4 linked regions of the Rattus norvegicus genome follow. The protein of the gene in region 2 purifies or fractionates together with the protein of the main gene of each other region. This does not show direct contact. Links are inferred from orthologs where the notes say so. Each region holds a gene or a part of one and is shown on either strand. Other genes may lie near its edges. The genes, in order: Kdr, Ptpn6, Cd22 and Cd72.

Region 1 (7,640 bases), on a different chromosome or scaffold from region 2:
CATAATATCTATATTACTGTGCCCTCTTAGACATGGTAACCTAATGCAGATGGCTAGTGGGTAGAGGCAGAGTACCAGAGAGAACTGGCGGGTGTATCCTCCCCGGGATTGGCGCTAAGCCATGAACACTTTGGTAGTGACAGAACTACCATGCCCTTTGGCGACCTCATTTGCAGTTGTAGTTTATGGAGTCCTAACCATCCTACAGATTTGAGAGCATGCTAGTGGCTCTTGAAGCCTTGATGCAGTGTCCAACAACATGAGTTTGACAGATTGTATGGAGCAAGATCTAGACTTTGAGCTGTTAGAATTCTGCCAAACCTACCTCTCCAACTACCCTCAGTCATCCCCTCGCACACCACTCCTTCACTCACACAACAGAGTTACATTGTTCCCTTCCTGGGTTACAAAACAAGACCCAAGAACACTCTTCTTAAGATGAAATGTTCTGTCACAGAATACTGACTGAAAAGCAAATGCTGGACTTCACGTCAATCCTACACACACACACACACACACACACACACGCACACACACACAGTAGAGGGAAAGAAGTTTCCTTTCACATTTCAATTATAACCCCCAGTTTCCCACATCATAAAAGCAATCACCTATTAATCAACTGTTGTTTATGAGTGAATCTTGTCATTGCTCTGGGGAAAATCCTGAACACTTGACCCTTGCCACTAATGAAATAGCAATGTCCAACACCAAATCTATTTTCCCCCAAGTAGATATTGAAGTGTCAGTTCAGTAAGTTAACCATTCAAACAAAGTGAGGACCGGGAACAGGAGGGATATTTATCACTCGTGGATAACAGCTTTCTCACAGCAAGAACTACGTGGACAGGAAATATGGTACAGCCTGAAGCGCACGCTGATTTTGCTCTCCGGTTAAAAGGACGCATGCCCATTGAAGACAGGTTATGAAGAACAAGTGGAGGAAACCCTAGCTCAGAACTCATCGACTAATAAGATCTGAAACTTTCTGAGCACCCACCCCTTATTTCATGTGACAGATTCCAGTCAAATAAGGTAGATGCCCTGAAAATATTATGTAAAATTACCTTCAGCCTTTGTATTCTTGCGTGACGCTTAAATTAAAATTTTAGATATGAGACACTTATAACCACTATGAGCGTCCCCATGAGTCACCCATATGGCATCCTAGTAGCTGAGGCTATGTACAATACGACCTAATTGCCAAAACCACCTGAGGAGCCTATGACATCACACCGACCTTCTATTATGAAGAGTGTCTCTGCTCTTGCACAGCCAAGGACATTGCAGGCCTGGCAGGTGTAGAGGCCCCCGTCTTCCTTCCTCACCCTTCGGATAGTTAGGTTCCGGTTCCCGTCTTTTAGTACAATGCCTAAAGGAAGAAGGAAACTCTGCTTTACTTCTGATGGGGTGATTTGTGCTTTGTCCAGGGCATTTAAAAAAATAGTTGGGGCTCTTCATCTCAGACCATTCTCTTAACTCTAAAGAGGTGCCCAGGGTTGACTACCGACTGCTCTCCCATGGGATCTCCATGCAAACTCAACAGGACTCAAATTAGCTGCTGTGAGGTATCTTCACTATCGCTTTCCTCATTATTCTTTTGAGAAAGGGTCTCTCTCTGAATCTGGGCTTGAGGATCTGGCTAGACTGACAAATGAGCTCCAAGGACACATTTGTCTTCCCACTCCCCTACCCTGCCCCTTAGTACTGAGATTACAGAAGGATGCTGAGTCTAGCTTTCTACATGGGTTCCAGAGATGAGAATGCCATCCTAGGGCTTGTGTAGCAAGCATTTCACTGAGCTGTTTTCCCAGTCCCCTAAATACAGCTGTCTGTCTACTTTGAAACAAACCAAGAAGCCATAGCAGTCCTACGTAGCATCCTTGAAAAAAAATAATCCTACAACCAAAGAAATAGACAAGTTCTCACTCACCTGAATCTTCTACAAGGGTCTCATTGTCTTTGAACCATGTAATGAGGGGGGTAGGGTTTCCAGATGTTGGACAAACAACTTCGATGGTCTCACCAATGGTTGTTGTCTGATTCTCCAGATTTCCAGTGATCATGGGTGCCATGCGCTCTGTGCACACACACACAAAAAAAATGGAGAGAGAAAACTGTAGAGCCCATGGTCTCAACTGTTAGAACAGTTTTCATGTCCTGGGACTATTAAACACAGTAAACTTCATAAGAAGTAGCCCATTAATAAAGTGAGCCAAAGCTATACAGAACATGACAACAGCAATCCTGTTGGTCAAACAAAATAAGAAAGGACATTTCAGACAGACACTGAAGCCTTTAAATATTCACATTAGCCACCCCACTTGCAAATCACACAATACTTGGGACTCTTTGGGGATTGTTTTTTCAAGTTTGAGGGTTTCCTTCCCCTCCAATCTCACAAGGCTTTCCCTAAGCCTTCTCTTAAAGTTGTAGCCACTAAGAGGAAAATTCATGTTTTCCCTTAGGAAAGGCAAAACCTCAGCGCAATTTTGTAAGGAGTGACTTACATAATGTTGGATACCTTTATATCATTTCTAATATTTACTCCCAGTCACATATAATGAGAGCCAAGCCATTAGCCTTATTATTATGGGATGTGATTGCAGTTCAGGGGTTTAAGCATTTTACCCACATCCCTATAACTAAGTAAATGGTTGACATAATAGAATCTGATGGGCCTAAACATACAGTATAGTTTCCACTAAAACACAAACAATCCAAACAATAACAGCCTATGAAAAATCAAGGGCATGTGTTTGCATGTACAGCAAACCTGAGCTTTACTGTCCTGAAAATCGACTGCAGTGGAAACATTGATGGGTGTCCAAAAGAATCACATTGAAAGAACCCCCTTTAATGCTTAGCAGTGCATGGTCATTTCTACTGTGCACTTTGTCAGAGTTTAAACAAACATACTTGGCTCTGGTCATTTTCCAAGAACAGATTTTCAAAAACAACATAGGCTTCCTTATAGAAGCATATCCACTGATGGTGATGGTAAACTTCCTGGTCAGGGCTAAGCCAGGAGCCTCCTTCAATCTTCTCTCTAAACTCTCCCCTCATCTGGACCAGCTACTGATGCTCACCGAATAAAACTGGTCCTGTATGTGGTGTGACTTCTAGGGTCTTGGGAATGACTTGACTCAGAAACATTGTTCCTTCTGTGCCCAAGTTTTTAATACAATCTTGTATTAGTGTCTATCTTGAGACACTCCTTCAGATAAGCTGAACCTCTTAAAAAATGATATTCATATAAAATGTTGGTTTAGATAAGTTTCCCTTCCTTACACTATAAAACAGAGAAGATGCATATCACAAGATCCTCAGAGAATACAACAAAGGAGGAAACAAAAGGAAAAAGCACAAAGAGACATTCCCTAATCTCACCAGATCGCCTTAGAGACAGAGGAGAAGAATGCCTACCTTTGGTCCAAAGTACAAGGTAGACAAGATATGGAGAGCATCCCCATGGGAATGCAAGAGTTTTTTATTTTTTTAATCACAAGCTTATCTCACTGAACTTCACCTACCAAGGACCCCATCGGATACCATAGAAGCACAGGCAATGAGTATGGCACCCTTCATGGAATCTTCTAGATCTTAAACTCAGACCCTCATCACACCGTTTAACCTAGTGTGTGCTAGAGTGTTCTAGGACTAAAATTACAGCAGAGACAGAATTTTCTGTCCTCCAGAATTGGAGGCCCCACAATGGTATAACCACCCAGTATTTTCCTATGGTCTCATCCTCTCCTTCTAGGTCATCACTTTGAGCTTCTGGCCCTCTCTTTGCTAATAGTGTTAGACAAATGTGTTAACTTTAATCATTGGATGCTCAAAGATGCCACAGGAAGTTCTTTGGTTCAGGCTAATCCCTTGCAGATACTGGTAGTGATATCATCACCTCACCAGGGTTAGCTTGTTTCTGCCTCCAGGAGTACACCTGCCTACTACAAAAGCTCCCAGAGGCCTGTACTATTCACACAGCACTCAAACACACTGCATTTAAGGCATTGCAACCCCATCAACCAGGGGTCCCTCCATACCTAGGATGACGAGCTGCTTGACTAGGCAATGTCTTTTCTTGGTCTTCTTGTCTTGAGCAGAGCAGACATAGTTGCCTTGGTCCTGCAGGGAGGCATTCTGGAATGCCACAATCAAGATGTCGTTTGTGCTGTTAGAAAACACGGTGCCATTCAGTTTCCAAAGAGCGTCCAAGTTCTTGCAAACTGGTGTGAGTGATTCGCCCATGTGGACCGATGTTGCCTGTGAGCCAAGCTTGTACCACGTGAGGTTCTCAAACGTGTTTCTATCTGCAGTGCACAATAGAGACACACTCTCCTGCTCGGTTGGCTGGGTAGCAGGCTGGACAGTAATTTCAGGACCCCCTGGAATTTAAAGCCATAGTTAGAAGATTGTGATTTAGTTTGGGACATGACACCATTGTCTTCTTCCTGCTGTGACGAACTGAGACTGCTCTTACAGTCCCCAGCCATTACTGCAAAGACAGAGCCAGACTAGACAATTCATTCCACAAACCGTATTATTTGAAAATGTGAAATTAATTTTCGCCAAGTATTTACTGCATTCTACTTTGAGTTCTGGATATGGTTTCCAAGTTGAAACAAAGCAAAGCAAAAAGTCCAAAGTAGGGCATTTAATCATCACACGGAATCTTTAACAATGTCTTCTTATTAATACATGACATGAAAACCACATTTATTACAAGTAATTAGCTCAGGCCAAAATGTCTGAACCAGTACAATCACCTCAAGTTTACCCGTAAAACTAGGCTGCAGGAACAAACTCCAGAGTGTTGGAAGGCAGAGGGCCAGTGATTTCACATCATTCCCATACTCCCAGAAGCCCCAGACCCGGTGCTGTTCTATCACAGACCCACAGATAACTTCATAAACCCTAGGAAGTCAAGAATCCCACTAACTGGTGAGCAAGACAAGTTACACACAACATGGATCTTGAGGCTTAAAGCACAAGTGGAAACCATCTCTGGCCAGGGATGGCACATTAACTCTCTCACAAGCCCAGGGGCTATGTGAGCAGCTCTAGCTTGTTACCTTGAGTCCTATCTACACAGCCCACCTCTCACACAAATCCCAAAGACAACAGACAACCTCACAGCTTATTAGCACCCACTTCCTGAGGGTTCCCCCCACCCCACTCTCCAAAGAGGTCTACTCACTGATCACATGGAAGGAGATGACCCTCTCTCCTCGTCCTGCTTTGTTGATGGCTTCACATTTGTATAATGCGGACACGTTGGCAGCCTGGATGACCAGAGTACTTACAGTCTGTGAACATACAAGACCAAAGTCATGAACAATACAGGCTGAACATATACACACACATACACACTGAGACAGTCTATCCATCAGCCCTCCACAGCTGCTAAGGACTGCCCTTGCCATTCATGGTACACACTGCCCACCCTCAAAGGTAAGCAGCTCTAACCAGGCAGTAATACACGGGATACAAAAGTGCCTCAGAAATCCTCAAGGATGCACTCTCATGGACATAATTCACACTTTTCATTTTTTATGTGTATAGAATCAGAATTACTTTTCAACAGGTGCTTACACTGAGTGGCATTATGTGCTTTGTTTCTCTTCCATAAACTGCTAGTAAGCTATGGGTACTACGGGTTTTTCCCTTCTCCTTTTAAATTAGTAGATATTAATTGTACAAAACAGCAAGATTTATTATGACATTTTATACATGTATATAATATACTTAGATTATATTCACTCCCAATCAGTCTGTCTTCTCTACCTTCATATCTTTTTTTATCCTGACTCATATAAAAGAAAATCATATTTGTATTTCTAAGTCTAACTTATTTCGCTTAATGTGATGATCTCAACTTTCTGCAAATGGCATAAATTTGTTGCTATTTAAGATTGAAGGAGTGTGTGTGTGTGTGTGTGTGTGTGCGTATGTGTGTAAAACTCATGCTTTCTTTATCTACCTAGGTTGACTCTATACCTAGGCTGTTATGGATGACATAATACAGACTATTTGATTATTAACCTCCAATATACCTTTGCATGTTATTGTACCACCTTCTACTCAGATTCAAGAATTAGAAAAAGAGAGATTCAAAATCAAAGTTCAAGCTCACTTTGTTTTTTCCTTCAATTAGGGCATATTGGTTTTTGGTGACTTCGATCTTATTTCCCCCCTGGAAATCCTTCACGTGTCTCCATTCTTTACAAGTATATGGGTTTGTTTGGCTGTAAGAGGGAGAAAGCACAGCATGTCATGATTTGACTTCTCTTTTGTTCAGTAGCACCAGAAAAGGTCAGCCTATGGTTATCACGTTCTTAGTGATAACTCTCAACACAGGCTAACACTTCGCAGAACTTGGCGCCAATTAAAAATAGATGCCAACAACAGTGCAAAGGTCCAAGGTAGCTGCCCGAGAATACAGAAGGGAAGCAGCTATTCTGGGAACAAGTCTCCATTCATAAATTGCATCGACAAGACAATTCAAGCTCACTTAGTTCAAAGGAAGGTAAGGAAACTTGGAAGCCATTGGGGCTTCTTAAAGTCATCTCTCTGGGAATGACTGGTGACTTTTGTTTAGGAAATGGTCAGCAGCTGAGGAAGAAACTAGGGTTTGCTATTTCAAAAACAACAACAGGAAGTGGAATGCTTGGGGTGGTAGGTTGAAGGTGGTGGCTGTTGTTTTCCCTAAGGATGTCTGCACTTGTGGTAGACCTTGATAAGCTGGGCCCGAGACTCTTGAGGCCTGGGCTACGTTTATCATTGCCTCCCATCCACCAGCACTTCCTCTGAGAGTTGAACCTTCCCAGAGATAAGGAGGAGCAGGGTGGTCCTCTCCAGTCCACAGACAGAAGAAGATCCAAAGATTGGCAACTAGCAAACGCAGCAAATGGTATCCGTTTGGAGAGGTATCCATCAGGGATAACTAAGGAGAAAGAGCTGACTCACATAGTGGGATGTGGGAGGTGAGTCTAAGTACCATTGAAAGTAACTTCCTTGGACATAGCCTTGCAGATTTAGGTGGAACCGTGGCATAGCTTGGCAGGAAGGGATGCATGATAGCAAGTGAACAGAGCACATGGTCCCACTCACCTGGGCCTGTAGGAGCATGCTTCTTCTAGCTGCCAGTACCATTGGATGTGGTGCAGGGGAGGGTTGGCATAGACTGTGCATGTCAGCGTCTGCATGGTGCCATACTGGTAGGAATCCATAGGAGAGATCAAGGCTTTCTCACCGATCTGGGGTGGAACTGGAGATAGAAAAGGCGACCTGTGAACTTCCCAATTGCTTTGAGAACAAAGAGGGGATTTCAGCAACCAGATCTGCCTTGTGTACTCATATGATTTGACCTCTGCTTGTTTTCCCAAAGGACATCTAGACTTGGAGACAGAAGACCTGAATTCTTATTCTCTCATAACACTAAAACCTGATAAGCTGAGTGACTTCAGCTATGCACTCCCATGCCACACTCTCTTACTCTTACATGAAAGATATTGTTCTCCACATCCTCTAGTCTAGCAAGAATGGGGTGAGAGGCTACAGAGAGAAAGCAGTTGGAATAACTCAGCAAAGACATTTATTGTGCACCAAGCCTTGTTGAGGTGCTTCACATTGAC
Region 2 (7,640 bases):
TGGCCCAAATCAAATTTTGTAATTCTAAAAGAATTTGACATACAGTACTAGTTGACCGAATTGGCCCTGCAATTTCAAGTGAGCGTACCGCATTAACCACATAAGCAGAGTCAGAAATTAAATTAAAAGAATCATGAAATCTTTTGAAAACTTCCAATACAATTTTACATTCTGTAATTTGGGGGGTACCTGGACTATATTGAATTAATACTGGTTCTTGAGAATCAACCATATAGGCACCTACACCGGTTTTGGAGCCATCTGTATAAATATCTAACGCTCCAGACAAAGGCTCTGAGGCAGTGATCTTAGGAAAGATCACTGGATGTTCAGTAAAAAATTGTAGCAGCGGATCCTTAGGATAATGATTGTCAAACTCTCCATCAAAACTACAGCACAATATGGCCCAATCATCTATCAATGCACACAATGTTTCTACCTGAGCAGTTGTATATGGTATAATAATTTTCTTTGGTGAAATACCAAAATGCTGAATGCAAGATTTAACACCTAACACAGCAAGCTGTGCAACAGCAGAAGGGTAATATTCAAGGGTTTTATTAGGAGAAATGTGGGGATAAATCCAAAGAAGTGGACCTTGTTGCCATAATACTCCTGTAGGTTGACGAAAAGTTCTCAGTATACACAAAAGCAGATCTTCCTCTTCCTTATACCTTTTTAGTATTGCCTTTTCTAGTCTTTCTTCTACTTTCCTCAAGGATAATCGTGCTTCCTTGGTTAAAACACGGGGTGAAGTAAGCTGAGAATCCCCTTTCAGGATCTCATAAAGTGGTTGTAAATCTACATTGGGCATTTTTATATAGGGTCGAATCCTAGTAATTTTTGAAAGTCATTTAATGTTTTTAAATGGTAATTCAATTTTTTGAGGAGAAATGCTATGAGAAGTGATTTTAGTTCCTAAATATTCTCCCATTTGGCCCATTTGAACCTTTTCAGGTGCTATGAACAATTGATTGTTTTCAAGTACCTTAACCACTTTTGTATAGGCCGCTTCTAGGACGGCTAGTATAAACATTTAGCCAGCCCCCTGGGGAGCTTGTCCAGCCAACTTAGGCTTCTAGCTACAGATGCCGGCTCCAAAAGCCAATTGAAACTTTTTATTTATTTGTTCCTTTCTTGAAAGGAGTTAAAGCTACATCAATGGGTGAATCAACCAGCATTTAAAGTTTTAACCATTTTTTTTCCTTTTAAACATGAAACACAAAACATTCAAGCAACGAGAAGCAAAACCCAGACATAAATTGACATACATCCACAGCTTGGTGCACCAAGGACAAACAATAGACACAGAGGAAAAGAACTAGATGGTGTTCCACCAAAGGGACCCAGACATCCTACCTAAAGAACCCAGAACCAGAAACAAGCACTTCTCCAATAGGAGCCAGCAAGGAGGCAAGACGTCTCCCACCTCCTTCTGTTCCCAGGAGAGCTTCAAAAAACTTAAGCTCACTTCCTTCTTTTGCCAAAGCATCTGTGGAGAGTTCGGGAGGACTGTTTTTCTCAACCCCATTCTCTCTCTTGCCTAGGGTGTATATTGTCTCTAGTCAGGGTCCAAAGACTAAAAGCATCTATGATACACAAAAACATTTTACCATTATTACCGTGTCCCCTTTTGACCACTACCATTACCCCAAGTCTTTATCTTTGCACATGCTTTAAATTTCTGTGATACTTCTGAATTCTGCTTACTGGGGCCTTTAAAATCTGTATCCACCACCTGAGTTCCCATTCTAGGGGTCAATATGAGTCTGGTGGTGGAGTCTTGTGCTTCTTTTTGTTGCTCTGCGGGAGGCCCGGGACCCGATGGTTCTACCTTTAGTTTCACTTTCTCTAAACTGTCAGTGATGCTTTCTAGTCTGACATTTCTAAGGTCAAGGCTTTTAAAGAAGAATATATCTTATTTGTTTCCTGGTCCTGATTATCCTCTTTTTTTATCTCTGCCTTCTCTCTGTTCCTTTTATCTCCTTTTCTTTTCTTTTTTTCTTTCAGGACCTTTACTCCCTCTGACATACTTTCTTGTTGCTCTGCAAGGACCCTCTGACCTATCCTAACTGCTCTAACCGCTTCCCACACAAAGAAAAAAAAATAAACAAAATTACAAGCCTTACCCACAAAGGATCCATTGGAAACAACATTGCTGCAGACTGCAGACCTTTTAGCCTCTAAACCAAGGCTTCCATCGTCTCTGCTCACCTCCAGAGAACTTTATCGTCCCTTACCGGGAACTTTTCCGACGTCGCTCATCCTGAAGCTGAAGAGTTCTGAGATCCACGAGGATGTCCTCGTCCCCGTACGGGCCACCACTTTGTCGCGCCCACCTCGTCCGGCAAGGAAGACGCAACACGGTTGGATTCTTCTCAACAGCCTTTACTGCAGGACACCTTCATTGTTGATACAGGGAGGCGGCGGCAGCCAGCCCTAATTGTTACAGCTCCAAGTGTTACAGCTTTAAGTGTTACAGCTTTATGTGTTACCGCGCCGAGCGGCAAGCCGCTCGGCTTATATACACAACAGTATGCTAATCTTCTTTCAGGGATTGGTGGGCGCGAGTCACCCCACTGCCATCCCAGCTACTTGTCCTCCAGAGATTGGCGAGGCATGAACTCCCATTTAGCATAGTACCGCCCCAGCCAGACTGACGTCAGGTGCAAAACTCCACGCATGCTCAGTACTGTTGTTAGGAGGGCGCCAGATTCACCTCATTATCATACAGCTGTCGCACCGCTCCCTACAGAGAAGGCCCGTGACCATGACAGTGCTGCACGAGGTTGCCTTGTGGGGGCTGTCAGCTGTGATAGCATCTCCTTCAGACAAGGAGTCTAGGGTTGGGGATTTAGCTCAGTGGTAGAGTGCTTGCCTCGGAAGCGCAAGGCCCTGGGTTCGATCCCCAGCTCCGGAAAAAAAAAAAAAAAAAAAAAGGAAAAAAAAACAAAACAAAAAACAGACAAGGAGTCTATTGACTACTGTTCTTTGGGACCTGAGGGTTGGCAAGCAGAATTCAAAAATCATTGGTTTTGAAACTATTTAGGTCTGAGTCCTGCCACTCACTAAGGGTAAGGCCTGGGGCAGTTCCTCAGACTTCTCAGCCTCAGTTTCCTTGTCTATAAAGTGGGTATAAAGATAGTACCTGTGTAGTGAGGCCGTGGTGCCCTGTTACTCACAGGTGGCATGTAAATGACATTGTACCAGTGAGTCTGGCATGCGTTGACACTCCATTAAATGACAGTGTCACCACACACTGTCAGTATTATAGCTGTGCCTTAGAATTCTGAGTAGAAGCAGCTGCTGGAGGAGGAAAGGTTGACCTGATCATGTGGATATTCACTGTGTGTGACTCTTGACCTGGAGGGACTGAGGGGCACCCACGTGTGTCCTTACCTCTCGAGTCATGAGTGTTTAGTGCCATGCTCCTGTGCCTCTGATGGCAGACTGTGCGAAGTGGGCCCTCCCCCACCCTGCCACCCTTCAGCTTCTCTTCCCTTGCTCTGAAAAGAGAAGTACAAGTGAGTTCCCCTAAGGGGTCGGCCGCGCCCCTTCCTGTCTCCGCCCTGCTGGCTGCCCCAGGCCAGTAGAGTGGTAGCCCGGGAGCAGGACAGCAGGTTGGCTTTGGAGGCCTGGGCTCTGAGAGCCTTGAGTAGAAGGCTCAGCTCTAGAGTTTTTAGGTGCCTGCCCAGACAGACTGTTCCCTCCACGTTTTCTGCAGCCAATACACCAAGAGCCTCAGGATGGTGAGGTAAGGGCCATGGGAGATAGGAAACGAGGGTGGCCTGGAGCCCAGGGGATATTCCCTCACTGCCCTGTGCACCTACCTCTAGGTGGTTTCACCGGGACCTCAGTGGGCCTGATGCCGAGACCCTGCTCAAGGGCCGGGGAGTCCCTGGGAGCTTCCTGGCTCGGCCCAGTCGCAAGAACCAGGGTGACTTCTCCCTCTCAGTCAGGTGGGTGGCCCTCCCTGCACCTTGTGTGGGTCCTGAGCATTCTTGGGCTCCCCGGGCTGTGTTGGTTGCCTTCCCAGATTGCACTGCTTTCCTTATGTCCCTGCCTGTAGCCCTAGCATGTGCCCACCACTGTCTATGTCCACTCCATGCCTGTGTGCTCTTGCACGGAGACTTCTGTCCCCCAAGCCCACTCCGCTGCTGCTCCTGTACCTGGGGACTCACTACCTGTGGTGCCTTGCAGGGTGGATGACCAGGTGACTCATATTCGGATCCAGAACTCAGGGGACTTCTATGACCTGTATGGAGGGGAGAAGTTTGCGACGTTGACAGAGCTGGTGGAGTATTACACTCAGCAGCAGGGCATCCTGCAGGACCGAGACGGCACCATCATCCACCTCAAGTACCCACTGAACTGCTCGGACCCCACCAGCGAGAGGTGAGGGGCATTGCAATGTAAAGGGGTGAACACCCGGATTGGGTGTCCTGCTCACAGTCCATTCCTCATCCCTGGCCTTCCACACCTGTTCTCTCAGTGCTGAGCCTCTTTCCTTTGTAGCCTGATGACTCCCATATCTAACCAATCCCCTGTCTGCTGAGGAAGCAAGAGAAGGGTTCCCCTTGCCTTCCTGCAGGGTTCCTGCTACCTAGCAACCTTATCCTGAGAGTAACAGAGAGGCCACTCCTTGTCGATGATATTTCTCATCAGGTTGGGCCCTATTACTAGAAAGTTCTTCCTTCCATGGAACTCTGGTGCCTTCTTCCAGCTCTCCACACAGTCTGGGGCTCTAGGTCCCTGTCTTACTAAGGTCTCAGAGGTTCATTGGCACTGGGATACTCAGGGAAAGTCAGCAGACACACTGAGCTGTGGCTGGACAGAGCTTGGTGGAAGCGAGGTCACTGATGTGGTCACAGGCGTGGAGGGCTCAGGCTTACCTGACTCAAGGAAACCCACAGGACAGCTCCTAGCAGTGCTGCAAAGACACAGCCCTCATAGCTGGACTGACTGTTCTTGTGGTCTTCTCAGAGCGTGGTCAAGGGGAAGGGCATGGAGATAAACGTCTCTCATTACACTGGAGTTCATCTTAGCTGCAAAAGCAGAGTGACTGACAGCTCCTGTTAAAGGGCAGTGGAATAACTCTAGGGTTTTCTTATGGACTCCGGGGACCCATGCCTTATTCCTGTCCTGTGTTTGTATATTTACGGTTGAAATGATTTCGAGCTTAATCCCCCTCCTCTGCTTAAACCCTCACTCCTCTGCTGGGCCTTGTCTGTGTTGAGCACGTGCTTTGCCACCGAGTTGCTTTCCTCGCAGTTTTTAAATCCGTCTTGAGATCCGTGCCTACAGACTTAGCCCAGTAGTTTTGTTTACAAGTCACTGATCGAAACTTAGGACTGGAGGGGTATGGTCCAGGGTCGCCTGTCATGCATTGAACACTGGGCTTGAGTCCCTGTAATGCAAAAACCTGGTGTGGGTGACACATGCCTGTAAGCCCAGTGGGGAGTCAGGAAGACCAGAAGATCAAGTTCATCCTCCATTACATAGCAAATTTGAGGCCAGATTGGGCTACATGAGACTTAAAAAAGCTAAAACAAACGCAGTGTTGGTGGCACCATATGCCTTTCATCCCAGCACTCAAAAGAGGGAGGGGAAGGTGGATGTCTTTAAGTTCAAGGCTAGCTTGGTCTACCAGGTAAGTCCCAACACAGCCAGGGCTCCACAGAGAAACTCTATCCTGAAGAACCAACTTCCCAAAACAAAACAACAAAACTCCAACCCACCCAAACAAACAAACAAACAAGCAAACAAAAAACCACCACTACCACCTCCAATATAGACCGTGAAAGACTGGGGTAAAAGCTCTGTGTTTCACCCTTTGCCAGTGACACAAAGAAGCTGGAGATGTTTCCTTGAAAGTTTTCCTCTCCTGCTGGTGAATGGCAAGGGAGGACCCACCTCAGGTGGTCTCTTCTCTCTTCTACCTGCAACACTCAGGTGGCCTCTCATTCTCTTTTCACTCCTTGCTTTCTCTTTGTTGCTGTTCCAAGCCAGGATGTGCCCTGCTAGAGGAGACCATGGAGGTACAGCTGAATGGTGGCTGGCCTGATCCCTGGGATAGGGAAGAAGGTGGGAGCTAAACAGGTGTTAGGAGAACAGACCAGGGCAGTGGGGAAGCACGGGACACACCGTGGATGCTACACCCCGACAGGGCTGTGGAGGATTCCAAGAGACACTTTGGATACCAGCTGGGAAGCTCAGTGTCATCCCTAACCTTGGTTATGTGGAAGCCATGACCCAACACTCCTTCTGTCCTTACCCCTCCTCTTCTAGGAAATTTGCATTTGTCCCCTCAATAGTGAACTCTCTGCCTGTGGTCTGTTCACATTTGCATGGAGACTTCCTCATCCTGTCCCTGAGGGAAGGAACTGAGCCCCCTTACATTGCTTGGGGTCTCTGGCCTGTCTTTGAAATGGGCTAGGATGGCCCAGGAGGCCTGGGTTGGGGTAGAAGCCTCTGAAGGGCCTTGAGCTATGGTGTCCTCTGGACAGAGTTGAGAAGGACCAAGAGGACTGAGCCCCACTCCACCCCCCCCATCCTTGCGGTTGGAAAATGCTGCCGCCCCCCCTTCCTGAGCTGAGGAAACCTCACAGCCTCACTTCTCACTCTCTCCCCAGAAGGAGTTTTGTATTTTTTCCATCACGTGGTTTCCTGTGAGGCTAGGCATTGTGGGGCTACAGTTTCCTCCTGGGAAGAGGGTGCTTCACGGAAAGGTCCTTAGTTCTGCTTTCTGCCCTGCAGCCCCTCGGAGCTCTGTGGAGCCCCTCTGAACCCCTGCTACCCCTGGAACCTTGAAATACTCTTCCCTCGGGGGAATGTTTGTCTCCCTCACCCCCAAATGCGTTTTTTCATCAGTCCTTCCAGACTTTTGTCTCCTTTGGCACCCGCTGCCTTCTGTGGTTTGAGTCCATCCATGTTTTTCTGTCCCTTCTTTTAACTCAGTCAGAGTCCATTTCATGGGGACGCTTCATTTTGTCCCTCCAAATATTTTGTACACTGCCTTTCTGTTTCTCATGAATAGTTGAGAGAGGCTTCATTTAGGTTTTGGCTAGAGCCCTTCCTTCATTCTTTCTTTCTCCCTTCCTTTCTCCCTTCCTTCCGTTTTTTTTTTTTTTTTTCCTTTCTGTTTATCTTGGTCCTGGGGAGAGAACTCAGGGTTTTACATGTCCTGCTGTGCCAAAGGGACAGTCTTCATGGTTCGAATGCTGCGAAGGTTTATCTCTGACTGAACTAGGACCTGGGACCAGCATGCAACTGCTTAGCCCCCTTTTTCTTATTGTAGAGAAAATGGCAATCTCCCAGCTTTTGTTTTGTTTCTCTGTTTAAAAAGAATTTGTTACATTTTCTTGTGTGCCATGGCCGCAGGTAGAGATCAGAGGACAACTTGTCAGAACTGGTTCTCTCCTCCTCCATGTGGGTTCTGGGGATTGAATTCAGGTGGTAAGCTTGTCCACAACCATTTTTCTCTCTGAGCCATCTCACAGGAGCTGTTTCATATCTGTCTTCCCATCTGTCTGTCTGTCTGCCTGTCTTTCCTTCTTTCCTCCATCCCTTTCTTGTTTTAGAGATGGGAAGTTAGCTTTCTTTTGGAGACAGCTTGTAGCTCAGGCTGGCTTGGAATTCAC
Region 3 (7,640 bases), on a different chromosome or scaffold from region 2:
AACCTTTTATTTTTGAGTCAGGGTTTTGTAAACTTGCACAGGTCGGCCTTGAACTTGTGACTATCCCCCCCTGAGCCCCCTGAATAGCTGAAATGGCTGACTTGAACCACCCTGGGCCAGTCGCAAGACTGTTTCTCACAGAGCCTTTTCACACTGTCCCTGAATCAGTCCTCTCCTACTCCCTCTTGCAGCTGTGAGGCACACTGCCAGAGCCCATGCCGGTTAAAGCTGTGTGACTGTGACTTGTAGGCCCCCATCAAGTTGGGCGCCTAGCCTTCCAGAATCCTCCCAAAGGATACCCTTAGAGTGGCATGAGACTTAGCTACTGCTGTCCAGATGTCCAGACATTCAGAATATGGGGGGGGGTGGGAGGACCCTGTCTGTATTCAAGCCATTAGGTGCCCGACAAACAAGTCTGTGTCTTGGAAGCAGCTCCAAAGCAAGCTGTGAAGTGCTAAGGAATGCCAAACAGTGGGGCAGAAGGATGACACAGTCCCTCTGGCTCTCAGATCGCTCAGGACTTCTTCAGGGCCTTGCCCGTTGCCTACTAATGCTATGTCTCCATGCCCCTGACTGGGTAATCCTAGTAGTAGGCAGGGTCTCACATAGCCCAGGTAGGCCTTGAACTTGTTACAGAGCCAAGATGACCTTGAATTTATGATCCTCCTGCCTTTGTACCTTCAGGGCTGAGAGCGTTTGTGTAAGTGTTGCTACATTTGTTTCTTTTATGCAGTTGGGGATTGAATCCAGAGCTTCATGTATGCTAAGTATCCTATACTGAGCCACGCCCCCAGTCCCTCACTGGGGGATTCTAGGCAGGGGCTCTACCACTGAGCCACGCCCCCAGCCCCTCACTGGGGATTCTAGACTAATGTTTGGTTGCTGAGCTACGCTCCCAGTCTCTTATTGGAACATTGTAGGATAGTATTCTGTCATTGAGCTACATCTCTGGTCCACTTTCTACTTTTGAGCCAGGTTTACTAAGTTGCCTAAGCTGGCCTTGAAGTTTCTCTGCAGCCCAGGCAGGCCTCACATTTGTGATCCTTTAGTCTCAGCTTCCCCAGTAGCTGGGATGACAGATCTGGGCCACCAGGCTGGTGAAAGCCATTCAACAAACATCTACTAAGTAACTACCGTAAGCTGAGGCTCTCGGTCAGTGTCTAGAAGGCAGCGGTGAAGCACCAGGAGCCTGTTTGCTTGTCTTTCCAACACCTTCATACCTCCACAACAGACACCCCCTCCATCCCCACCCCAACACCCCTACACCCCACACCCAACACCTCTATACCCTACACCCCTCACCCCCACACCCAATACCCCCTGTACCCCCAAACCCAACACCCTCTACATTGAATACCCCCTCACCCTACCTCCAACACCCACTACACCTCCTTACTCCCACAACCCCTCACCCCTACACCCTATTTGCCTTCCTTCTCCATTTCCCCCTTTCCTCCAAAATCAAGAAGTCAGTCGGCTGCTCACAGTGGACATCCAGCTCAGCTTCCTGTTCTATCTTTCCACAACCCAGACGGTTCTCTGCCAAGCAAGAGTATTTCCCAGCATGCCACAAGGAGACATTAGAGATCTGGAGCTTCTCATGGCTGGCTCCGGGTACCATTTCCCCATTGTGATACCAGGTGTAGTTTGTTGCTCTTGGACTGGCCAGTGAGTCGCAGATCAGCTCTACTGACTGTCCCTCTTCAGCCGGTGAGGGATAGATGTGAACCTTGGAGGGTTCCGGAGGATCTGAAAGAACGTATGGCAGCCACGGGACAGGTGAGGGGAGCCTGTCCCGTGGACACCTGAGCCTCTGCTATCTCTTGAGGGCCCTGCTAACTCCATACCTCCCTCACCAGCTTCACGGGAACTCACAGAGCACCGTGAGTGCCACTTCTTTGGACTGTCCTTGGCCTATGTTGTTGGAAGCCCGGCACTGGTATTTCCCTCTCATGTCCTTGGTCACTGAATGCAGAGTTAGCTCCTCCTGTTCCTGTTGTTCCTTCAGGAAGCTCCCATCCTTGAACCAGGATACCTTCTTGGTACTGAGACTCGGGTTGCTGCTGTTAACCTGACATGTCATGGTCACAGAGTTGCCCTCCTTGACCTCTGTGGGATTGACCGTGATCTGCAGTTTTGGGGTGTCTGCAGGGACAGAGAAGCAGTTGCAGAGAGGACAGGGAATGCTTGGTGGCTGCACTTTTTTCCTGACAATAGCAGTGCACACATCTGTGATTCCTTAGTCCACCCAGGTGATTGTCCAAGCTCCTCACCCGTCTGCCTGCTCCCAGTCGTCCGTTCCCTGACCACATTGTCTCTGCCGGCAGAGATTGGCACTGAAGCTATCCATTGGGCTTGTACAGCCCAGGAGACCAGTGGCCTCCCTTCTATACTTCTTCCGCTCTTACCTCGAAAGGCTCAGGCTTGACCCACACTCCTCTCGGGTCCTCGGCCTCTGCCATGGGTACACTGCTTCACCTCAGGACCTTTGCACTTGGTCCTTCTTCTTAAGATCTTAGGATCTGCCTGTTCTAGTCCCTCACGGCAGCTGAGGTCTGCACCTTCCTCACACAAGCCTCTAACCATCACCAGCCTCCTAACCCCCTTTCTTTTTACCTTTTTTTTTTTTTTGAGGTATTTGTGTGTTCATGCACATGCACAAGTGGATATGGTTGGAGGGAAACTGTGGGTGTTGTGTTTCAGAAACCATCCATCTTGTTTTTTCATTTTTTTTTCTTTTTTTCGGAGCTGAGGACCAAACCCAGGGCCTTGCACTTGCTAGGCAAGCACTCTACCGCTGAGCTAAATCCCCAACCCCTTGTTTTTTCATTTTTTGAAACCGGGTCTCTCACTGACCTAGAGCTCAATTATACCAGACTCGTTGGCCAGCAAGTCCCAAGGATCCTCCCCACAGCTGAGACAAGCAAAGGCCACCACACTCAAGTCTTTTGTTGACCTTTTGTTCTTCCAGACAGTGTTTCTTAGTGTAGCCCAGGCTGTCCCAGAACTCGCTCTATAGACCAGGTTGGCCTCATACTCAGAGATCCACCTGCCTCTGCCTCCTGAGTCCTGGGATTAAAGTCCTGCACCACCATACCCTGCTTACATTCAGCTTTTAAAATGTGAGCTCTGGGGTTCAAAATCAAGTCCCTATTCTTATAAGGCGAGTACTTTTTTAAAAAAAAGTTTGTTTTCCTTTCATCGTGTGTATCTGTGTCAGAGGGACTCAGATCCTGCAGAGACAGAGTTCTCGTCTGCTGCCTGGTGTGGGTGCTAGGATTTGAACTCAGGTCCTCTGCAAGAGCAGTAGGTGCTCTAAACCATGGAACCATCTCTCCTAAGTACTTTAAAAAAAATATTATGGGACTGGAGAGATGGCTCAGCAGTTAAGAGCACTGGTTGCTCTTCCAGAAGACTCAGGTTGCCAGCACCCACAGAGAGGATCACAACTGTCTGTAACTCCAGTTCCAGGGCATCCAACACCCTCTTCTGGCCTCCACAAACACCATTCTTGTGGTCAGTGCACAGACATACAATCAGGCAAAACACTCGTACGCATACAAATAAAAACTTAAAAATCTTTTAAAAGTTAATAAACGGCGTAGTATCACGGAGTGCTAAGCGTAAAAGAAATTCAAAGGAGTTTTATCGGGCTGGCTAGGCAAGCTCAAGAGTTAGCTACCCGGCCCTCTTTTTTTCCTTAATGCACATATCTCCTCCCAGCAATTCTGCTTTGTGTTTCTTGATTCATGTTTCTTACGCGTTTCCTCCATTGCAACTGTTACTCCGCACAGGCAGAACCTAACTCAGTGCTGTGTTCTCAGCCTACACCGGCATTCAAGACAAGACCGGCACCGAATCAGTGCACAGGCTTGGCTGTTTGTTTGTTTGTTTGTTTGTTTTAAGGTAGTGTCTGATTGGCTTAGATCTCACTATGCAGACCAGGCTAGCCTCAAATTCACAGAGCTCCACCTACTTCTGCCTGGTGAATGCTGGGTTTAAAAGTATGTTCCACCATGCCAGGCCCCACAGTAAATATTCATTCAATGAATGAATGAGTGAATGAATGAATGGATGAATGAATGAATGAAGCATAAAATAATGAGGTAAAAACTTACATGTTTGGAGAACAATGAACCCTAAGGAGGTGATCTTCAAAGTGTGCTGTGGCTTCAGATTGACTGGTTGGGTGGTTGGTGCTGGAGATTAGCCCAGGGTCTCAGAAGTGCTGAGTAAGCACCATACTGCTGAAGTACATCTCCAGCCCTTTTGTTTTTGAGACAGTGTGTTTTACTCTGTAGCCTTGCCCTCCTGAGTGCCCAATTCCAGGCCACTTCACTAGGTTGCCGAATGAGGTTCAGGTCAAGGCAAAGGCTAAAACGAATGTGTCTTGAGACTAGGACTGACAGAAAAGACTGTATGGAGAGCCTGAGCCACCCCCAGAAACAGGTGACCGACAGCTGACACAGGCTTTTCCCACCCTTGGTGCAACTCGACAGGATTTAGGAAGAAGGTGACAGGTGGCGTCCTTCCCACCCAGAGACTCACACTTAACATCCAGACGCACTGTCCTCTCAGAGAGCACTTGGGAGAAGTGCCAGACTTGGCACATCATGCTCTTTCCGTGGTCTGTCCACTTTGGCTGGAAGGTGAGCTTGCTCTCTGTATAGACGTTCTCAACGGAGGAGGTGATGGAAGAGGTGACAGGGCTGACCTCGGACCCGTCCAGAGACCACCGAAGGCTGATGTCATACCCAAAGCAGGTGAAATTCAGTCCACAGGTCAGAGAAACCCTTTGGGATTCCCGGATTTCCGATGGCAGCTGGATGTAAGGTTGGAACGGTCTCTCTAGGGGGAAAGAAGAGAGAGGCCTGCTTGCTGGGGATGGGACACAGACAGGCCTTTCACCCCTGGCTTCAGGCATCCTGCCCCGTGGCACCCCAGAGGAAGCCCTTGCAAGACTATCGTTAGCTTTTTGTTCAGTTTGACTACTCTGAAAGGCCTTGGGAACACAAAGCCTGCTGGGAGAGTGTATCTAACACTGACTTGGTTTCTCACTTCCTTCTTCTATTACATTTCTAAATGACCTCAGAATCACCCAGGGTGATCTGATTTGATCGATTGGTTTAATTCTCCGTGTACTGCTAATCATTGGTGACGTGCTCGTGTCTGACAGCCTCAGACTTAAGAGTCAGCCAAGCACAACATTGCTTTAGTGGGGTGATCCTGAGGCCCAGTGCTCAAATCTCCACCACACTAGACCAAGATGTCAAGAGGCCCAGCACAGACAGCTCAGTGTGGACCGGTGATACTATCTAGGGCAGAGGCCCCTGGCTGCTGTTGTGGGTCACCTCTGAGCCCCGTGCAATCCTCGTCTAGCCTAAAAGAATTCCTTTAATTCTCCTAGCTTAAAAGAAGAGAGTCGAGTCCAGAGTGGATATGATCCTGAACCAGGTTAGGAGGGGCAGGAAGAGGGGAGAGAAGGGAACCAGGTGTAGCAGCCAGGAAAGAAGGCAAAAGGTAAGAGAGGGGGCAGGCTACCCAGATGGCTGGATTATATAGGGAAGGGGGAGGGGGAGGAGAGGCAGACATGGGGGGCAGCCCAGCCCTTGGGCTGGAGAGTTGGGTTAGAGATGGGGGGTGGGGGGGAACAGGTGTCAACCACTCTCTCTGTACCAAGTAGGGACTGAGGAATGCTGGGAGAACCTGAGGCAGGGCCCTCTTTGATATTTTAACTAGGCACCTCAGCTGTTTCTTCCAGGGTTTGAGACCCTAACTCTGATCAGGTAACACCGCACTTCCCCATCCCTCTTTGCCACTGCTAGAACAGTCAGCTGCCTTCCCATGCCTTACCAGAGACGTTGAGGTGAATGTGCTCCATCCATTTGTCAGTCCCTGAGATCAACCTCAAGCCCAGCTTCCCACTGTCATTGGCATGTATCGGGTCGATTTTCAGGGTACAATTGTTCGATCTGTTTCCCAGAAATGTTACTCTGTCTTGCTGAGAAAAGTACAGCTCAGTCTCTATGCTCGCCTTCGTGTTGTTATAGAGGACCTTTCCTGTGAAATCCCTGGTGGTGTTGTCAAACGTATAGTTCTGAAAAAGGAGGATGCTGTCCAAACGCGACCTAGGCTTTGGTACTTTGTACTTGCAAGGAATCTGGATGCAGGCTCCCTCCCAGGCAAAGAGGGTTTGGGGATGTTCAACAGACCATCCAGTTGCTGAGCGGAAGGAAGCCACATGTCCTAAAGGCACAAATCTGGTCAGAAGCTGTTACTGGGGGATGGGGACTTCCACTAGGAGTAGGAGAGGGAGACACTGGGGAAACGCGGTGGGGCAGGAGCACAGAGTGTCCTTCTCTCTTCACACTGCCTCCCTGTGGTTCCCCTCCGATGCCCTAGGCCCATCCCCTCTCTGCACCCGCTGTTATCTGCAAACCCAGCCTGGGCCTCAGCACTTACCAAGGATCAGGAGGAGCCACGGGCAGGGGACACACATGATGGCTTGTCTGGGTGAGATCTAAGAAAAGAAGAGTTAGTCTGCAAAACTGGTTGTGTTGGTGTGTGACTGTAAGCTCCGGAATTTGGGAAGTTGAGGCAGGAGGATTGCTGGGAGTCTGAGGCCAGCGTAGGCTGCATTCTGACACCCTGTTTCAGCAACAGCCACAACAACAGAAGGAATTTGCCTTTGAACCATCTTGTTGCTTGTCCTTTGTCCACTCAACTCTGGCTCCTTTTTCCAGTTTGGGGGGTAGCTACCTGGTTATGGGATAGAGATGTGGGTTTGGGGTGCTCATAGAGCCTCTTCTGGGTACACTGTACTTCTTCAAGCAGGCTTTCTCTCCTCTGTCTCTCTCTCCCGTCCATTTATATGTTTTAAAATTTTTATTTTATATTATTGGTATGTGGGTGAGTGCAGAGCTGATGTATGAGGCACGTGCAGGCCGAAGTGCATGTGTAGACGCCAGAGGACAACTCTGTGGAGAGCTCTGTGGAGCTGACTCTTTCCTTCCACCTTTAAGTGGGTCCCAGGAATCCAACTGGAATGACCAGGCTTGTGCAGCAAGCATATTCAACCCCTGAGCCACCTTGATGGCTTTCATAACTCTTAAAACTGTTCTCTCAGGCTCTGTGCTGCCAGTTATATGCCTCAAATGCCAGACTCAGGTAGAAGGGTACCATTGCAAAGTTATACATAGAGTCAGACCGAGTGAGTGGAAAGACTTGGGGCGTGGTAGGGTGGCAGTGAGGGGAATCACATTGAAACAAACCTGATCGAGGCCTGGCAGTTCGGCTTGGAATTCCAGGTGCTCCAGAGGCTGATGCAACACAATTGCAAGTCCAAGGTCAGCTTGGCTACAAAGCAAGTTCAGGCCCAAGTCAAAGTAACAAAATGCTTGTCTCAAAACAAAAATAAAAAGAGGGTTGGGGGTATATCTCTGTGATACAGGAATCACCCATGGAGGCAATGGGGGCTGGGTTCAGCACTAGAACCCCTACCTAGAATCCCCCAGTGAGGAGCTGGGGGCTTGGCTCAGTGGTAGAGCCCCTGCCTAGCAAGCAAAGGACCTAGATTCCATCCATAATACTATACCAAAAAGTAAAACTAAACTCATATTGAAGTATGACATAAGCAGAAC
Region 4 (6,567 bases), on a different chromosome or scaffold from region 2:
TGTCAACTCTCTCAGGAGTGGCAGACATAGAATACAGACTGAAGCCCCTTCTCTTTCCCCTATGTCCCAGTATATGAATGGGGGTACCCTGGAACAGCTGCTGAGCTCCCCAGAACCCCTCTCCTGGCCAGTCAGGCTCCACCTAGCACTGGACATTGCACAAGGCCTACGGTACCTACACGCCAAAGGTGTGTTTCACCGAGACCTCACATCCAAGGTAGGCTGGCCAAGGTGGGTGGAACGATGAAAGAGGATTTGGAGCTGTTAAGTTGTAATTGGCCTGTGGATGTTGGCATGTGGGTAGAAGATATGTTAGAATGTCGGGGTGCCAAGGCATTGGAAAGAACGGGGACAGCAGGAGGGCTGAGGAACTGAGTATCACACTGACTGCTGAGTGATACTGCAATGATGAGGTGCCTTGGAGAACCGGGAGGGAAGGTTGGAGTAGTGCTTAGTGCTGTGGTGACACGGGGCTTTGGGGTCTATACTAGAGGACCAGAGAGCAGGGGATGGGTGTGTGAGGATGCTTGTGTGTGTGTGTCAGAACTGTCTGGTCCGACGGGAAGACGGAGGCTTCACAGCTGTTGTGGGTGACTTCGGACTGGCTGAAAAGATCCCTGTGTATAGGTAAGATGGCCACCCTTCTTACCCGGAGCCTCCCAGGGTTGCCCTACGCCAGTGGTGCTTTCTGTGGGTGGAGAGGAGGCTTACCCCATCCCCTTTCGTCTGGGGATGTCTGAATAGAAGATTCTGACCACCCTGCCTCTGCAGGGAAGGGGCAAGGAAGGAGCCATTGGCTGTGGTGGGCTCCCCATACTGGATGGCCCCAGAGGTATTGCGGGGAGAGCTGTATGATGAGAAGGTAAGAGCCTCAAGCCCCCCAGAGACCTTGAGAGCCCCCATCCAACAGCTCTGTTATATATGTGGAGCCCCCGGCCTTGCCCCTTACCCCTCACTGCCACCCTTCCAACCCAAGATAAGTGCTGACTCCTCCCCCTTGGCATGGCCCACTTCCCTCCAGGCCGACGTCTTCGCCTTTGGGATTGTCCTCTGTGAGCTCATCGCCCGAGTACCTGCAGACCCTGACTACCTACCCCGTACTGAGGTGAAGTAACCTCCACTGTATGTGCCTCAACCAAGAAGGGCTCTGTGGGGTCGATTCTCACAGTGGGGCACAAGGAGAGCCCACTGAAGGCTAACTTGGCAGCCCCTCCTCTGTCCCCACAGGACTTTGGTCTGGATGTGCCTGCTTTTCGAACTCTGGTGGGAAATGACTGTCCGCTACCTTTCCTGCTTCTGGCCATCCACTGCTGCAGCGTAAGTGTTACCCCTGCCCTGCCCCTAACCATGAGTTGTCTTCTATGTCTGGGGAGATAGTGGAGGAAACTCACCATCTTCTGAGCCCTGAGCAAAGCTGTCTTTATCCATCAGATGGAACCCAGCGCCCGTGCCCCTTTTACTGAAATTACCCAGCACCTGGAACAAATCCTGGAGCAGCTGCCTGAGCCCACGCCCCTCGCCAAGATGCCCCTTGCCAAGGCTCCCTTGACATACAATCAGGGTACGTGAGCATGACCTTGACCCAGCAGAAGTCCTTCTGCCTCTCCTGAGAATCAGTTATCTGGAGGAGGCTAATTGGATCTATGAGTTAAAAGGTAGGCAGTCAGGTGGGAGGGTGGAGAGGCATCTCATAGAAGATGGGTTTTTATTGCTAGAGCCCAAGGAAGCAGAAAAGGGCGGTAGAAAGGTAGCTGGAGGGGCTGGTGAAATGGCTCAACAGGTTCAGTCATTTGCATAAGGACCTGAGATCCATCACTGGGATCTACATCATGGAAGCTAAAAACTAACACCTGAAAGTTGTCCTCTGACCTCTGACCTCAGTTGACAACTTCAGTGTCCTGTGGTTCATACAGACTAAACAAGGTAGCGGGAAATAACAGTCATCCCTTCCAGAGCACCTGTAGGCTTCCCTTTCTTAAGCTCATGTCCCACCACCTTCCTGGGGATCGAGGGCCTCAGCTCTGCACAGATGCTGAGGACAGTGATCTCACACCTCTCTTTCCACAGGGTCTGTTCCAAGAGGAGGTCCCTCTGCCACGCTTCCCAGGTCAGACCCCCGGCTCTCCCGAAGCCGGTCAGACCTCTTCCTGCCACCTTCACCAGAATCACCCCCCAGTTGGGGGGACAATCTAACACGAGTCAACCCCTTCTCACTGCGGGAAGACCTCAGGGGTGGCAAGATCAAACTTCTGGACACACCCTGCAAGCCGGCCACTCCACTGCCCCTGGTGCCACCATCACCACTGACCTCTACCCAGCTGCCCTTGGTGGCCTCTCCAGAGTCCCTGGTCCAGCCTGAGACTCCCGTCCGCCGCTGTCGTTCACTCCCTTCATCCCCTGAGCTCCCCCGACGGATGGAAACTGCACTGCCAGGTCCTGGCCCGTCCCCCGTGGGCCCCTCGACTGAGGAAAGGATGGACTGTGAGGGCAGCAGCCCTGAGCCAGAGCCCCCAGGGCCGGCTCCCCAGCTGCCTCTGGCTGTGGCCACTGACAACTTCATCAGTACGTGTTCCTCAGCCTCTCAGCCCTGGTCTGCTAGACCAGGACCTTCCCTCAATAATAACCCCCCTGCTGTGGTGGTGAATTCCCCACAAGGATGGGCGAGGGAGCCCTGGAACCGGGCACAGCATAGCCTTCCCCGGGCAGCAGCCCTGGAGCGGACAGAACCCTCACCACCCCCATCAGCTCCCCGGGAGCAGGAGGAGGGGCTTCCCTGCCCTGGCTGCTGCCTCAGCCCCTTCAGCTTTGGCTTCCTATCCATGTGCCCCCGCCCTACCCCAGCTGTTGCCCGCTACCGCAACTTGAACTGTGAGGCGGGCAGTCTTCTCTGCCACCGAGGGCATCATGCCAAGCCACCCACACCCAGCCTGCAGCTGCCTGGGGCACGCTCTTAGCAGTGAGGCCTGTGATCTCAGGCTTCCAACCTTGGCCTTCGGGATACCCTGTAAGGACAGAGTGCACTTGCTGGACAATGCCAGCCCCAGATGGGCTGACTGGCTCTTCTCCCCGTATAGGGGAGCCTCAGCATGGTCTCAATGGACAGAGCACTTCCTGTCCAACCCCTGGGATCACTGGACTAGACACAGCATTGCTGACACACAAGACTAACACGTGCAAATTATTTAAAAATATTTCAATAAAACTGCCTGGCTGGCTCCGGGCCATCCATCCACTCAGCGGAGCGCCCTCCCCTGACCCATCTCTAGTTCGGGAAGTTCTTAAGGAAGGTCAAAGTCTTTTCTGGAGGCTTCTTTACTCTTCCCAAGAATAGTTTCTGGAGCAGCTTTCAAGCAAGCAGCAGGTCGCCAGACCAGAATCAGCCCTTAGCTGGGCGTGCCCAAGAGTGAGGGAGTGCTGGAGGAATAGCAGTCTTGAGAATTGGCAGGCCATAGGTTAAGGATGTAGGTCACAAGGTCTTGTTGAAGTGTCTGGAAAAATAAAGCACCAGTGAGCTCCAGTTGACTTCATTAGCCCTCATCCTATTTCTCCCCAGCTCCTCTCTGTTCCCTGCCTCGCCTGGCCCTGTGTAAGCAGACAGCCACTGGAGGTGGGGGATGAGACAAACGAGGGGACAAAGTCCTCTGGGCCTCTGTCCACACACCCATGCCTCATCTCCCTCATGCTTACCCATTTCAGTTCAGATGGATCCCATCAGGAAACCTGAGCGCCTCCAGCTCACAAATGCAGGGGAAAAGGTCTGTACACGTGTATGAGCTTTCATACCACCATGAATGGTAACATTTTATCAGGTAACATGAGCTTTGAGAATGAGAATCGGACCTGTGAAGAGTTGGGATATACTTTAGAGTCTGCAAGTCCCTCCTTTCCCTTGCTCTTTGTAAAACCTAGTCCAAAGCCTATGACCTGCTAGGGCCACATGGTTCAGGAACAGGTTTCTGAACTTCAGCTCCACAGGCCTTAAGGCCACAGAGGAAAACTCACCCAAGTCTTTTTTTTTTTTTTTTAAAGATTTATTTATTTATTATATATAAGTACACTGTAACTGTCTTCAGATACACCAGAAGAGGGCATCGGATCTCTTTACAGATGGTTGTGAGCCACCATGTGGTTGCTGGGAATTGAACTCATGACCTCTGGAAGAGCAGTCGGGTGCTCTTAACCACTGAGCCATCTCTCCAGCCCTCACCCAAGTCTTAAAAGAGGAAAGCTGCACGTAAGGAGTTGGGTGTGACTTCGTGCACCTTTACAGCACCCAGGAGTCACAGACCTCAAACCCCATGGAACATGAAGTAGCGCCCTGCTTTGGGGTCCCTGGAGCAAAACTGCAGCTACTCTGCCCTCTCCTGAGACCGGTCTAGTGCCCCAGTTGGCATGGACTAAGCAAGCTGTCTGTTTGGGCAGCCTGTCAAGGCTTAGGTCAATGCCAGCACTCCTCTGCCTGAGAAGCCTTGCTGAAATCGCTTCTCAGCCTAATTTGTTTTTAGAGATGTGGGAAGGGGTCTTGCTGTGTAGCCCAGACTGGCCTTAACTCACAATCCTACCTCAGCCTCCTGAGTGCTAGGGTTACAGGAAAATGCCATTGTAATGTAAGTATGCACTAGAGACCTCCAGGCACTATGGATGGAGTATGGAGTAAGGTGCACGTCAGTGAGATGACTTAGCAGGTGAGCACCACAGCCTGGGAGCAGTCCCCGAGACCCACACAGTAGGAGAGAACTGCCCCCCACAGCCGTCCTCTGCCTGCCCTGTGGCACCCCTCCACCAACACGTTTTGTTTTTAATATCTTAAACAAGTTAATATGTTAATCAAGTAAAAGAAACAAGAAACCACAATACCGATTTGTGGGGGAGTTTTGGGAGCAGGACTTAAGGAAGTAATATGCCTTTATAAGAAACTGAGTTGACAGGGGTTGGGGATTTAGCTCAGTGGTAGAGCGCTTGCCTAGCAAGCGCAAGGCTCTGAGTTCGGTCCCCAGATCCAAAAAAAAAAAAAAAGAAAAAAGAAAAAAAAAAAAACTGAGATGACAATACCTCCTCCCCTTCATGTTCTTCATGTTTTGTGGATAATATACAGTATGGCTCATCTGCTCAATCCAATATGACTTTGAACGATCTAGCAACTTCTTTAAGCCATCAGGCAGAGAATCCTAGGGGGTTCAGAGGGGTAAGAGAACAATGAGAATACAGAGTAAAGTGGGGGCACCCTAGGGGCCTATGAATTTCACTTAGCAAGAGGCCACGCCCACTTAGTACATGAATTAATTAATTGCTCCTGCATCTATCCTTCCAGTGTTACCAGACACAGGCTCACTCTCCATCTCCCCTCCAAGCAGGGAAGTGGAGTCAGCCTGTGAACTTCCGGTCTCAGATGAGTGTCAGGGGGTTGGCACTCGGCCTGAGAGGAGTCAATGAGGAATTAAGCAGGCAAGGGGCAGGCCAGCAAGCCAAGACAGACTGAAGTGGAGATGGCTCAGACATGTCAGCTCTCACGGATGCTAAACAATAGGAGCCATGGGATATCACGGGAGTGAGAATGCCCAACTATTGCCACACTTACTGGCTAATAGTGTGACTTCCATATCTGTCTTGGGGAAGCAATGTAAACCATGGCTTGTGTGCAGATGTGCACTGCCATTCCTGACTTGATAGCACACATCTCTTTACATACCTCCACCTCAAAATATAGATAAGGTCATGCTCACTTGTAGGGAATACCTAGGAGGTTCGTTGAGCACAGCCAGTTTGGAGGACAGAGATGTGCAGTATTTTCGGCTCTCCTCCAGACTTCTGGGGGTATTTGAGATGTAAAAGCACCTTTTCTCATGCTGAACCCATCCACTTGGACAGCAGGTGTCTACAAAGCAGAAAGAATATGACAGCCACAACTCTTGGGGTAAATTGACTAATTGGCCAGCTGATTGACCCTAAGGGTCTGCTCTCAATGTCGGTTTTGTCAGCTTTAGTCCTTGATCTTTGCGATCTTTTTGCCTCTTCTGAAAACATTTTACTCCTTAATAACATGGGAAGAATTTCCTAGTGGAGTTAGTACACTGTCCCTGGGTTCTGAAACATTAAAATCTGCCCTAAACTTGCCAACCTTGCCTAGCTCCCACACTGATCAATGGGCTTCTCATTCATTCATTCACTCACTCATTCATTCCATTTAATCCCTAACACATTCAGAGGTTGCCACACTCCTCCAGCCTGTGGCCACATCTCTCTCCACAACTCTGTAAGCAGACAAACTTGGTTCCTGCTTTTCTAAAAATTATGAATATTCTCCATTTCCACTTCTCTACTTAAAAATGCTGATCTCTGTTCTTTTCCGGATTACCTGTAAGAAATGAATCCTTCTTTAACATCCAACGCCCCACTCTGCTCTTGATCACAAACGACTCTTATCAGACCTAGCCAACATTCAGAAATCATTCCCTGTCCACCGCCGGACTCTCTCTCTGTCTCTCACACATGCTATCTCTCTTCCTGTCTTCCTGTCTCTATCCTTCTCTCTTCTCCCTCTCTCCTCTCCTCTCTTTTCTTCCTCTC

The links.
Region 1: the proteins of Ptpn6 (region 2) and Kdr purify together in Homo sapiens (affinity purification with western blotting; 3 studies listed by BioGRID and IntAct, with this or other methods). This does not show direct contact. The link is inferred for Rattus norvegicus from reciprocal best matches to the Homo sapiens genes PTPN6 and KDR.
Region 3: the proteins of Ptpn6 (region 2) and Cd22 purify together in Homo sapiens (affinity purification with western blotting; 5 studies listed by BioGRID and IntAct, with this or other methods). This does not show direct contact. The link is inferred for Rattus norvegicus from reciprocal best matches to the Homo sapiens genes PTPN6 and CD22.
Region 4: the proteins of Ptpn6 (region 2) and Cd72 purify together in Homo sapiens (affinity purification with western blotting; 3 studies listed by BioGRID). This does not show direct contact. The link is inferred for Rattus norvegicus from reciprocal best matches to the Homo sapiens genes PTPN6 and CD72.

What each region holds. Positions count from the first base shown.
Region 1 is NC_086032.1:32,586,783-32,594,422, reverse strand, and holds part of Kdr (vascular endothelial growth factor receptor 2 precursor), read right to left. Parts: intron 7,274-7,640; coding exon 7,117-7,273; intron 6,252-7,116; coding exon 6,140-6,251; intron 5,313-6,139; coding exon 5,204-5,312; intron 4,392-5,203; coding exon 4,050-4,391; intron 2,081-4,049; coding exon 1,934-2,080; intron 1,373-1,933; coding exon 1,241-1,372; intron 1-1,240. UniProt on the Homo sapiens protein: Tyrosine-protein kinase that acts as a cell-surface receptor for VEGFA, VEGFC and VEGFD. Plays an essential role in the regulation of angiogenesis, vascular development, vascular permeability, and embryonic hematopoiesis.
Region 2 is NC_086022.1:159,221,223-159,228,862, reverse strand, and holds part of Ptpn6 (tyrosine-protein phosphatase non-receptor type 6), read left to right. Parts: intron 1-3,565; exon of another isoform or gene 3,566-3,746; coding exon of another isoform or gene 3,747-3,754; intron 3,755-3,836; coding exon 3,837-3,959; intron 3,960-4,200; coding exon 4,201-4,395; intron 4,396-7,640. UniProt on the Homo sapiens protein: Tyrosine phosphatase enzyme that plays important roles in controlling immune signaling pathways and fundamental physiological processes such as hematopoiesis.
Region 3 is NC_086019.1:95,250,470-95,258,109, forward strand, and holds part of Cd22 (B-cell receptor CD22 precursor), read right to left. Parts: intron 7,357-7,640; exon of another isoform or gene 7,272-7,356; intron 6,521-7,271; 5' UTR 6,500-6,520; coding exon 6,463-6,499; intron 6,247-6,462; coding exon 5,854-6,246; intron 4,849-5,853; coding exon 4,549-4,848; intron 2,146-4,548; coding exon 1,876-2,145; intron 1,750-1,875; coding exon 1,486-1,749; intron 1-1,485. UniProt on the Homo sapiens protein: Most highly expressed siglec (sialic acid-binding immunoglobulin-like lectin) on B-cells that plays a role in various aspects of B-cell biology including differentiation, antigen presentation, and trafficking to bone marrow.
Region 4 is NC_086023.1:62,489,977-62,496,543, forward strand, and holds the end of Cd72 (B-cell differentiation antigen CD72), read right to left. Parts: intron 5,876-6,567; coding exon 5,724-5,875; intron 5,169-5,723; coding exon 5,053-5,168; intron 3,841-5,052; coding exon 3,693-3,840; 3' UTR 3,688-3,692; intron 3,517-3,687; exon of another isoform or gene 3,489-3,516; 3' UTR 3,179-3,488; downstream 1-3,178. Other genes in the region: Tesk1 (dual specificity testis-specific protein kinase 1), read left to right, coding at 71-217, 545-627, 772-862, 1,022-1,105, 1,228-1,317, 1,432-1,561, 2,068-2,954. UniProt on the Homo sapiens protein: Co-receptor of B cell receptor (BCR) that plays both positive and negative roles on B-cell functions. Recognizes the Sm/ribonucleoprotein (RNP) self-antigen ligand, and coligation of CD72 and BCR inhibits BCR signaling.